3 separate regions of the Mus musculus genome follow, and all the other regions are reported to be linked to region 1. Evidence: microRNA targets listed by miRTarBase, many of them from high-throughput screens and not tested one by one. Region 1 holds a microRNA gene; each other region holds the end of a gene's coding sequence.

What was found. Region 1 holds the annotated microRNA mmu-miR-30b-5p (UGUAAACAUCCUACACUCAGCU, at 1,212-1,233, shown strand). A microRNA usually pairs through its seed, bases 2 to 8, with sites in the 3' UTR of a target mRNA and lowers its output. Matches are read on the target gene's strand: a 7mer-m8 pairs with bases 2 to 8, a 7mer-A1 pairs with bases 2 to 7 and ends in A, and an 8mer does both.
Region 2: the mRNA of Pgr is a reported target of mmu-miR-30b-5p. Seed matches in the 3' UTR shown: 7mer-A1 at 732-738.
Region 3: miRTarBase lists Oga as a target of mmu-miR-30b-5p. Seed matches in the 3' UTR shown: 7mer-m8 at 1,148-1,154.

The regions. Positions count from the first base shown.
Region 1 is chr15:68,335,426-68,338,701 of GRCm38, reverse strand. It overlaps Mir30b (microRNA 30b), which reads left to right and starts at 1,192; the gene lies at 1,192-1,287.
Region 2 is chr9:8,964,632-8,967,768 of GRCm38, forward strand. Pgr (progesterone receptor) reads left to right here. Exons shown (of 8, transcript NM_008829.2): 8 at 352-3,137. The coding sequence ends at 507. Among named protein-coding and RNA genes, the nearest start is that of Pgr, 66 kb to the left of the region's middle.
Region 3 is chr19:45,749,541-45,752,677 of GRCm38, reverse strand. Oga (O-GlcNAcase) reads left to right here. Exons shown (of 16, transcript NM_023799.4): 16 at 398-2,423. The coding sequence ends at 534. It overlaps Npm3 (nucleoplasmin 3), which reads left to right and starts at 3,113. Exons shown (of 6, transcript NM_008723.2): 1 at 3,113-3,137. The coding sequence starts at 3,122.

The DNA.
Region 1 (3,276 bases):
AACTTTTGTCAGTAGTACATTATGCACACCCTGATTATTGGACAGTCACTGCTGCCAGTGCTTTAGCTTCCCAATGTACTTAGGAAAAACAGCTTTCAAATACTACTGTGCATCACAATTACAGTGAGCTTACTAAAACACAGACTGCAGGACCCCAAAAAGAGTTCCATCCCTAGTAAGTCTGGGATAGAGCTTAGGAATCTGCTTTATTTCCTAAGTTTCTATTGTTGCTCTAGAACTAAAATCCAGAGCACTCAAATTATAGGTGTGTGTCACCATGCCAAACCCTAAAGTTTGATTGCAAAAAAGGACTGGCCCACCCCAAAGAATTAAATGTGTCTACAAAAAACAGCAGGAAATCAGACAAGCAAACTGTAATTGTAGTGAAAACAGGAAAAAGCAACATGTTTAAAGGGGAGAAAGGAGTTGGAGGTGGGGATAGATTAGTTTTGAGAATGCTGCTCCAGGAAAACAGGAGATTCCTGAGGTGATGGCGTATCTTTGAAATGCCAGGAAGTTTTAGTTTGCTGACAGTGTTATATGTAATTTTATTTCCTAATTTAAGGACTTCTTCCCTGATGAAAGTATTCCAAGAGTAACTTTTAATGTTTAGTAAAGGAATTTGGTGATTTTTTTTTTTAATTAAATCAGGAACACAGAAAGGGGTAGATGTCCTTGTGCTACCCCTTGCTACCATGTTTTAAATAATGGCCCATGGTAGAGATATGGGAAAGCCATGCCTGTGGTGCAAGGACCTGGGTGTTAAGGAAGAATAGGGGATTGGTACACCGTATTGCCCATCAAATGGGCTCCTATAAATGGAGGTGCAGTTGTTTAGAGAGAGGGAAAGGGTGGAGAAAGTTGAATGCTGTCAGAACAGTAAGTTGCCTTTAGGTGGGAAAAGCTATAGAATTCCTGTGTTCTTGCCATACGTGTGTGTGTGTGTGTGTGTGTGTGTGTGAGAGAGAGAGAGAGAGAGAGAGAGAGAGAGAGAGAGAGCATGAAAGAGAGAACGATAAATGTTTGCTGTTTCTGTGGATTCTATACTTACTCTGAAGATATCTTTCAAGTTGATTTTGTCCTCATGTAGATCACTGTGCCTAATTTTTTTTTCAACAGATTCTGCAAAATTGTCTGAGCCTCAAGTAAAAAACCAAGTATAAACATAGTAAAGAGTTCTCAAGTCTCTCTCTAAGCCAAGTTTCAGTTCATGTAAACATCCTACACTCAGCTGTCATACATGCGTTGGCTGGGATGTGGATGTTTACGTCAGCTGTCTTGGAGTATCCACCAGTTAACATATTGATACATGACTTAAGTGGCATTACAGGAGTATATCACCATGCCCAGCTAAAGGGCACTTATTATAAATACTGTTTATATTTAGGTTTTCAGTAAATACTTGCTGTACTATTTAAAATAGATACTTGTTTATCTTAATATAGATGATACCAATATTTTGATTCAGAAGTAGTGTAAATCTTACATATCACTGTAATTTGTTGCTAAATAGCCTTAAGCCTAGCTTCAGGTTCTATAATAATTAAGGAAAGTATTAATTTTCCTGGTCTCCACTTCTTTGTCAGCTGAATTGCATTGTCATAGTACCTGACAGGATTGTTGATGAAGTGAGTCGATGTCAGTTGAATGTTCTTGACATACGGTAGTTATCATTATTGTTACTATTTTAAGATTTTTTAATCCATTACCCTTTTCACAGACCTGATTGGTCTAACTGCTACTTTTATATTTGTACCAGGCAGACAGGTTGATCAATGTAATAGAATTGAAGACTCAGAAATAAAACCACACACTTATGGACACTTGATATTTGAAAAAGAAGCCAAAAAATATACAGTGGAAAAAAGAAAGCATCTTCAATAAATGGTACTGGTCTAACTGGCAGTTAGTATGTAGAAAAATGAAAATAGATCCATATTTGTCACCTGGCACAAAGCTCAAGTCCAAGTGGATCAAGGACCTCAACATAAAACCAGATTCACTGACTCTAATAGAAAAGAAAGTGGGAAAGAGCCTCAAGCTCATTGGCACTGGGCTGGGGAGGTGGGGGTGGGTATTTCCTAAATAGAACTCCAATGGCTCAGACTCTAAGATCAAGAATTAATAAATGGAACGTCATGAAACTTCTCAGCTTCTGTAAGGCAAAGGATGTAGTCAGTTAATCAAATTGGCAACCTATAGATTGAGGAAAAAAATCTTCACTAACACCACATCCCATAGAGGCCTAATATCCAAAATATAGAAAGAACTCAAGAAGCAAAAACCCAAACAACCGAATCAAAAAATGGGGTATAGAGAGAGCTAAACAGAGAATTCACAACAGAAAAATCTCGAATGGCCAAGAAGTACTTTTAAAAATGTTCAAAGTCCTTAGTCATCAGGGAAATGCAAATCAAATGACCCTGAGATTATTTACACTAATCATAATGGCTAAGACCAAAAACTCAGGTGACAGCTCATGTTGGCAAGGATGTGGAGAAAGAGGAACAATCCTCCATTGCTGGTGGAATTGCAAACTGGTACAACCATTTTGAATATCAATCTGGAGGTTTCTCAGAAAATTGGAAATAGATCTTTCTGAATACCCAGCTATACCACTCTTGGGCTTATACCCAAAAGGTGCCCCACTATACCACATGGGCACTTGCTCCACTATGTTCATAGCAACCTTATCTGTGATAGCTAGAAGCTGGAAACAACCCAGATGCACCACAACTGAAGAATGGATACAGAAAATGTGGGTCATTTACACAATTGAATATTATTTAGCTATTAGCAAGGACATCATGAGTTTTGCAGGTAAATGTATAGAACTAGAAAATACTCTGACTGAGAGAACCTAGACCCCAAAGGACATGCATGATATGTACTCACTAATAAGTGGATATTAGCCAAAAAAAAGTACAGAATACCCAGAATACAATCCATAGAGAAGGTTAACAAGCAGAAGGGCCCATGAGGACACTCACTTGGGAGGGAGAAGAAAGCCATCAAGGGAAGCAAAGGGAGGGAGGAGGGATCTGGGGAGGGGAGGGGAAAGGGGGAACATGATCAGATATAGGGGTGGTAGAAACAGGAGAGAAGCCCTGAGGGCCAGCAGAATAAATGGAGATATGCAACCTTGAGGGGGGGAGTGGGGGGGGGAACCCTCTAGAAAGTAGCAGAGACCTGGGAGGTGAGATACTCTCAGAACTTAAAAGGAGGGACCTTAGATGAAATGTCCAACAGTGGGGAGAGGGAACTTGTAGAGTCTAC
Region 2 (3,137 bases), not on the chromosome of region 1:
CAGAAGAACTGGGTTCAGGTCTCAGGACATACATATATGGTGGCTCGCAAGCATCTGTAATTCCAATTCGAGTGGCTCTGATGCCATCTGCTGGCTACTATGGGCAGTTCATTCAAGGGATGCATGTCTACACACAAGACAAAAATAAGTAAACACCATACTATCATCATGCTCCCTTATGTATATAAACCATTTCCACATTACCCTGGAGCATGGAGAGAGTTATTTGCATTCTGGTAAGAAGAAGCATCTAGATAGGTACTTACAGCATTAGAAAAATGTTATCATATTTGCACAGTGTGTGATTGTATTGTTTGTCTTTCATTTTCTACCCACGTGTTGAACTAACAGCTTGTGAAACAGCTCCACCTGTACTGCTTGAATACATTCATCCAATCCCGGACACTGGCTGTGGAATTTCCGGAAATGATGTCTGAAGTTATTGCTGCCCAGTTGCCCAAGATCCTGGCGGGCATGGTGAAGCCGCTCCTCTTTCACAAAAAGTGATGACTTTTCTTTGTTTTCTTTGTGAAAATTGAATCTTGTGGTGTGCCATCTTTTTCTCAGTCAGGATGGTCAGGTCATGTGTCTTTATAATGCCTTTCTGATAGCCTTACATGTATGCACTATCACACTGTAAAGTTAGGAGAAAACCAATGACATTCTGACTTTCTTTTGTAATGTCTAAGCAGAGTTTTTTTTTAAGTGTTGTGTGCACCCATATTTTAAGAGTTTACATGGTTTTTAAAAAATGACTAAAATTGATTGTACGAGTAAACTATATTTCACCCATTATTTCAAACTTTTCAGATGAGTGTAATCAACTTTTTCATCTGACAGATCTCCATGAGAAGGGAAGAAACACCCCTCCCTACCTTTAATTACAACAGGCTACTACACAGGCTATGGCTATGTAGTTCCTTTGGTCTCCATGCTTATATTTCCAAAAATGACTCTTAAAATGGCAGTCAAAATGTGATGTGCAATAGATTTTCAGAGGGCTTTTAGTGAAAAACAAAACAAAACAAACAACAACAACAACAAAACAGAGATGAAATGGGTTGATGTTTTTAACTCTAGGCAAACTGTGTTCAGGGTGCCTGCCTGATAACAGATTGATGACAGAGTTAATGGCAGCTATACAGTTGCTGTGACATTATTGAGGGCAGGTTTAGGGGGAGGATGTCTTTAAATAAGACCTGTGAATAGACAGAAATTGTGAGATCTGTTTTCTCATTGGAATTCCTGCGGTTGGCTGACCTTACAAAGTCGGTCTCCATTGGTAGTTCCATGTCCTTGCTTTTAAAAATGATATGCAGCATTTCTCTTGACAAATGTTTCTTTGGCCATATAGTCTTATTGAAATTTACCAAAGAAGACGGGGGGGGGGGGAGGAGGGAGAAAGGCAAGGGTGGGAGATAAAGACAATTTCTTTCTTGGGGATAGTGTTTTTCTCTAGGAAAATGTATAGAGCGAATCAGCGAATCTCAGGTGGAAATTATTTTTAGTGCCTCTAAATCTGAGAGATGCTTTAGAAATAGACAAGTCTCAGTGGAAAGTTTTGAGTGCCTATGACCCAATTCTAAGTGAGATACTTCAGGAAATCCTAGATACTTGCTTAAAAATCACACAACCAGGTACAACACAACAGATAAAACACAGTTCCGTTTGTCATTTCTACTTAAAATATTCCTTTGAAAGACAAATAATAGTTCTTTTCTAAGATGAGTCACTGGAGATATATTAATTTAAAAAATAACTCAAACATATAAACATACACCATTATGGTATATACATAAATAGTGAGTTCTTTAGCACATTTGGAAAAGGGATTAAAGTGGAGTCTAATCAGAACCCGTGACTTGTGCTCCCTTCACGCATGTGGAAATCATAATGGCTTTCCTGCACAGCAGTACCTTTATTAGAGCAGTCCGAGTTTTCCCCAAGTACTGCAATGGTCAGCACTAGTAAATAGATGCTCTTCCTATTGGTCTACATGCCTCCTACAATGTGTCTGAAATGCATTATGTTCTTTACTGGTGCTTGGCTCTTCGTAATCTCCATACACACAAGCATACTTCATCTTTCAGGCCAAAATGAGATCAGATTCCTTGGGCTATATCCTAAGAGTTATTTTTTTAATTCCTCAACTTACCCTGCTGCCATTATGTTCCTGCTATGCCAATCTTTACGTAAGAAAAAGAAAGAAAGCAATTTTCTACCAGAACTTGACTCCAGACTCTTGCATGTGTTGACCTTCAAGATCTGCTTTATCACTCCTGTAAAGTCTTTCTCAGTCTCTCATACTGTGATTTGACCCCTCATCTGTTTCCAAGAAGTTGTTTAAATTACATTAGTATGTAGCTGCACCATTCTAATGGTCCACAGGTCTAGGGCTCGTGCTAAGGAAAGACCATAGTGTTTTGTGACAGAGTTGACTGTGACATTCGTCCTGCTGAGGGTCTTCTGAGTGACATTGATAAACCTCTTCTTGTGTCTTTATTATTCCTTTTATCTGCAACTTTGTTTTTCTTCATTTCCAAGCTATATTTTCCCCATCCTGTGGTAACTTGCCTTTTTTGACTACGTCATGGGAGCACATTTTATATGCAATTAGAAGAAAACGGTCCATTTCCTGTTCTGAGCTGAATGAATGGAATATTAATTCCTTCCCTATAAAAGATTCTATAAACTCTGACATGTTTTATATTGCAAACCTCAATGTAAAAATTTCCCTGCATTTTTTTTATTTTCTTCAACAAATATTTTTGAGTGTGTAATGTGAGCACAAGAAATCATATGAATAAGCTTTAATAGAAACTGGAGCTAAAGGAAATTGTATATAACTCAAGAAGTTATAGCCCAGGAGTTGTACAAATATGTCTGGTAAGTGCAGGGTCACTAGATATTTGTAGTATATAAACTACATCGTTAAGGTTTAATATGTGCAAGGCATTACAGCATTACTTATATGCAACTTGAATGAGATAAGTGCTAAAAAATAGTATTTTAAAATTAATAATTATTTAATCTAGGCAACTGCCAGCAATTAATTTGCTTTAAACTTTTGTGTATATTTGTATATTGGAAAAGTTTTAATACCATTTTTCAAAAATATAAATAAAATAAAATATTTT
Region 3 (3,137 bases), not on the chromosome of region 1:
GTTCCCAGCAACTACATGGTGGCTCACAACCATCTGTAATGGGGTCTGATGCCCTCTTGTGGTGTGTCTGAGGACAGCTACACTGTACTCATATATATAAAATAAATCTTAAATATATTTTTAAAGTTAGGTATTTTTTAAATCAAAGTCAACCTGATTTAGTGAGTTCTAGGCCAGCCAGGACTATAGAGTGAGACCCTTTCTCAAAAGCAAAAACAAAAAAGACTTTAAAAAGTTGTCAGTCTGCGAATATAGCTCAGAGTTCCCCATTATGTACCCCGTTAATAAAAGTTATAATATGAAATTTAGGAATAGATAAAGCTGTTACCTGTATTAAACACGGTTCAAATCTATATGATACACTTACTTACATTTAAAACATTTGTTTTATTTCTAGGCTCCCGGGGGGCTTTCTGTGAAGTAAGACCAGATGATAAAAGGATTCTGGAATTTTACAGCAAGTTAGGCTGTTTTGAAATTGCAAAAATGGAAGGATTTCCAAAGGATGTGGTTATACTTGGTCGAAGCCTGTGACACTTGTTGGTACTGTGAACTGTCCAAAAGTCCCTTAACTCCGCCTTGTGGTTGGTGGTTGAGGTCTTCACACAGTTCAGTGTCTGGAGCTGGAGCGGCAGCAGATCAGCCAGTTGACTTGGAAACAAAGATGACTGTAAAGCGCACCCATCACCTTCTCAGATGCTCACTGGTTGGGAGAAGATAGTATTGCTGCATACCCCGTGCAGCTTGTGGTGTGCTCCTCTTTGGGTCTTGTGTTAGGGTCAGGGCCTCTTACGTGGGGCTCTCTAGGGAGAGATTCTTAAATAAATGGAGTCAGCACTATTTTCTGCATCCAGTGTGGTTGCATTTCTCACCTAAGAGCAACGAAGTTCACTCTCTTTACTCTCCTTGGTGTGCTGGATGAAATGTCTCTGTTCTTTGGAGACATGGCTGGAATGAGAAATTTAGTGAGTTTCAATTTGGGCAATTTTTCTGCTTTTTGTAAAGTTCTGGGCAACTGTCTCCTGTAACTGTTGGTTCAGGCCATTGAGCTTTGTTAGGGACAAATGTGCATTTGTTTGTGGCCAAGGCCTAAATTGACAAACTTGTAAATCTCTGTATATAGATTAGCTGTAACCCGACTGTTCTTTGTTTACTGTTTTATATATTATGGGGTTTTTTTTTCCTTTGAAAATGAAAGGTGTTGGTTTAGGATGGCACTTTGAATTATGTAAATCAGTGAATGGTAGATTTCCTTTACATCTGTCCTTTTCTTCCTAATAGTTTTTATTTTTGAAGTGCCTCCCACATAGGGTTAGGCCATGACTATTTAGGGTATGAGCACCTAACTTCTTATGACTCAGATATGTTGGGAAGTGCAGTAACTCCTGGGAATTAACCTTAATAGCAGATCCGCATGTGAAATGTTCTGACATTGTTAAGTAAGGGTAAGGGGACTGACCAGTGGTCTCCTTTGTCCTTGAACAGTTGTCATTTAATCGCAAAGACCTGTTAACTACTGGTTTAATCGAATCAGTCCTTAATTCTTGCATGTTTGTATCTAATTTTTAAAAGAAAGAATAAGTATATGTTAACAATATGTATACTTTTTCTTTTAATCAGAGATTCTGAAAACTTCATGTTATTTTAATTTAGATTTGGTGAATTTAAGGGTTTTGAGCATGAAGCTGGCACATAGTGTCTGCAGGATTATTATTCTTTAATCATGGCTAGCTATCTAGTAACGTCATAGATTTTCAACAGTCTTTTGTTACCTTGCTTTCCTCCAGTTCTACATAGCTTTTGAACTTTGAGCTGAGGGGGGAGAGAGAAGAGGGAGCTTGAAACATTTTCCTTTCTAGAACTCCAGTGTGAGCTTGTGAGGTAGTCTTTTAGCACTATATAGAGTGGACCCAGGGAGGCCCAAGAACCAGAGGCCCAAGAGTGTGCTGAAATGTGCCGCCTCCTTAGGGTGCGAACCTTTGCGATAGGATGTGCTGTGAAACCTAAGTCAAGGTTGGTTTTGAAGGCTGGGGTGAGGGGCAAAATTGTTACTAGATATTAAGACCGTTTAATGTTCCTTAGCGTTCTGAATCCATCTCATGCCTCAGTGAGAATTACAAGGTTTTATTCAGAGCGTTTCAGAGTTTCATACGGAATCAGGAATTGAACAAGTTGCTTTTTGTTTAATGTTGGCTTTCAATAATCACATGGGATGATCTTCTGGACATAAGTGAAAACATGTCCAGGTCTCTACTGTCATTGCTGTAGGATAAAGTGCTCTGCCATCTTCCATGGTTATGAATATTTATTAATGTTGGAATAACATTTCATTGTTTAGATCACAGCTCAGTTCCTATAGAAAACGAACTGTAAACCTATCTGCAGACCATGCAAGAGGCACAATAAAACTTGAAGTGAATGTGTGCTGTGCTGCTTTTTCTCTGGGTTCTCCCTTTTTTTCCCTCACATCTCTTGATCCCTTAGGTATCCGAAGCTATTTCAGTGTAGGCTGGATTGAAGACAGCCCTGCCCTCCTGCCTTCCACAGCAAAGATTTTTCTCAGAAAAGTACATTTGTTTTTGTTTTTAAGTAAGTTGCTCTGTTTACTACAGGTAAAATTTGTGTGAAGTTGGGGGGGGTGTCACAGAGTTCCTCACTGGAACATGGCTTCATTTCCTTAGATAAAGGAATTTTGGTGGTGGAGGGGGGGGGTGGGTCGCCTAAAGAGGAGGCTGTACTATGAACAGTAGTTGATCTCCACATCTGAGTTTAGGTCTTGGCTGTCAAGCCTCCAGCATGATCAGGAAGCGGGGGGGGGGGGGGGGGGGGGGGGGGTGTGAGTAAAAATGGCTGCTCCGTACCCCAAGTTTACTGAAAAAGGAGATACGAAAGGTTTACACTAACATCTGTATGTATATATCCCCGGGTTGGAAGAAGGGGCTTCAGTGAGTGGACGCTAACTTTAAGCCCTCGTGGAGATTTCTTCTGGGGCCTTGTTACCTGTCCTCGTGGAAGAGGCGACGACTGCTCCTCCCTGCTTCGTGTGGCGAGCGCGGCTCCTTTAATGGGCGGGACCGGAACTGGCTGAGGCGGGGGGCGGGGCGCTCACGGCCGTTTCAGCATGGCGGCCGGCGCGG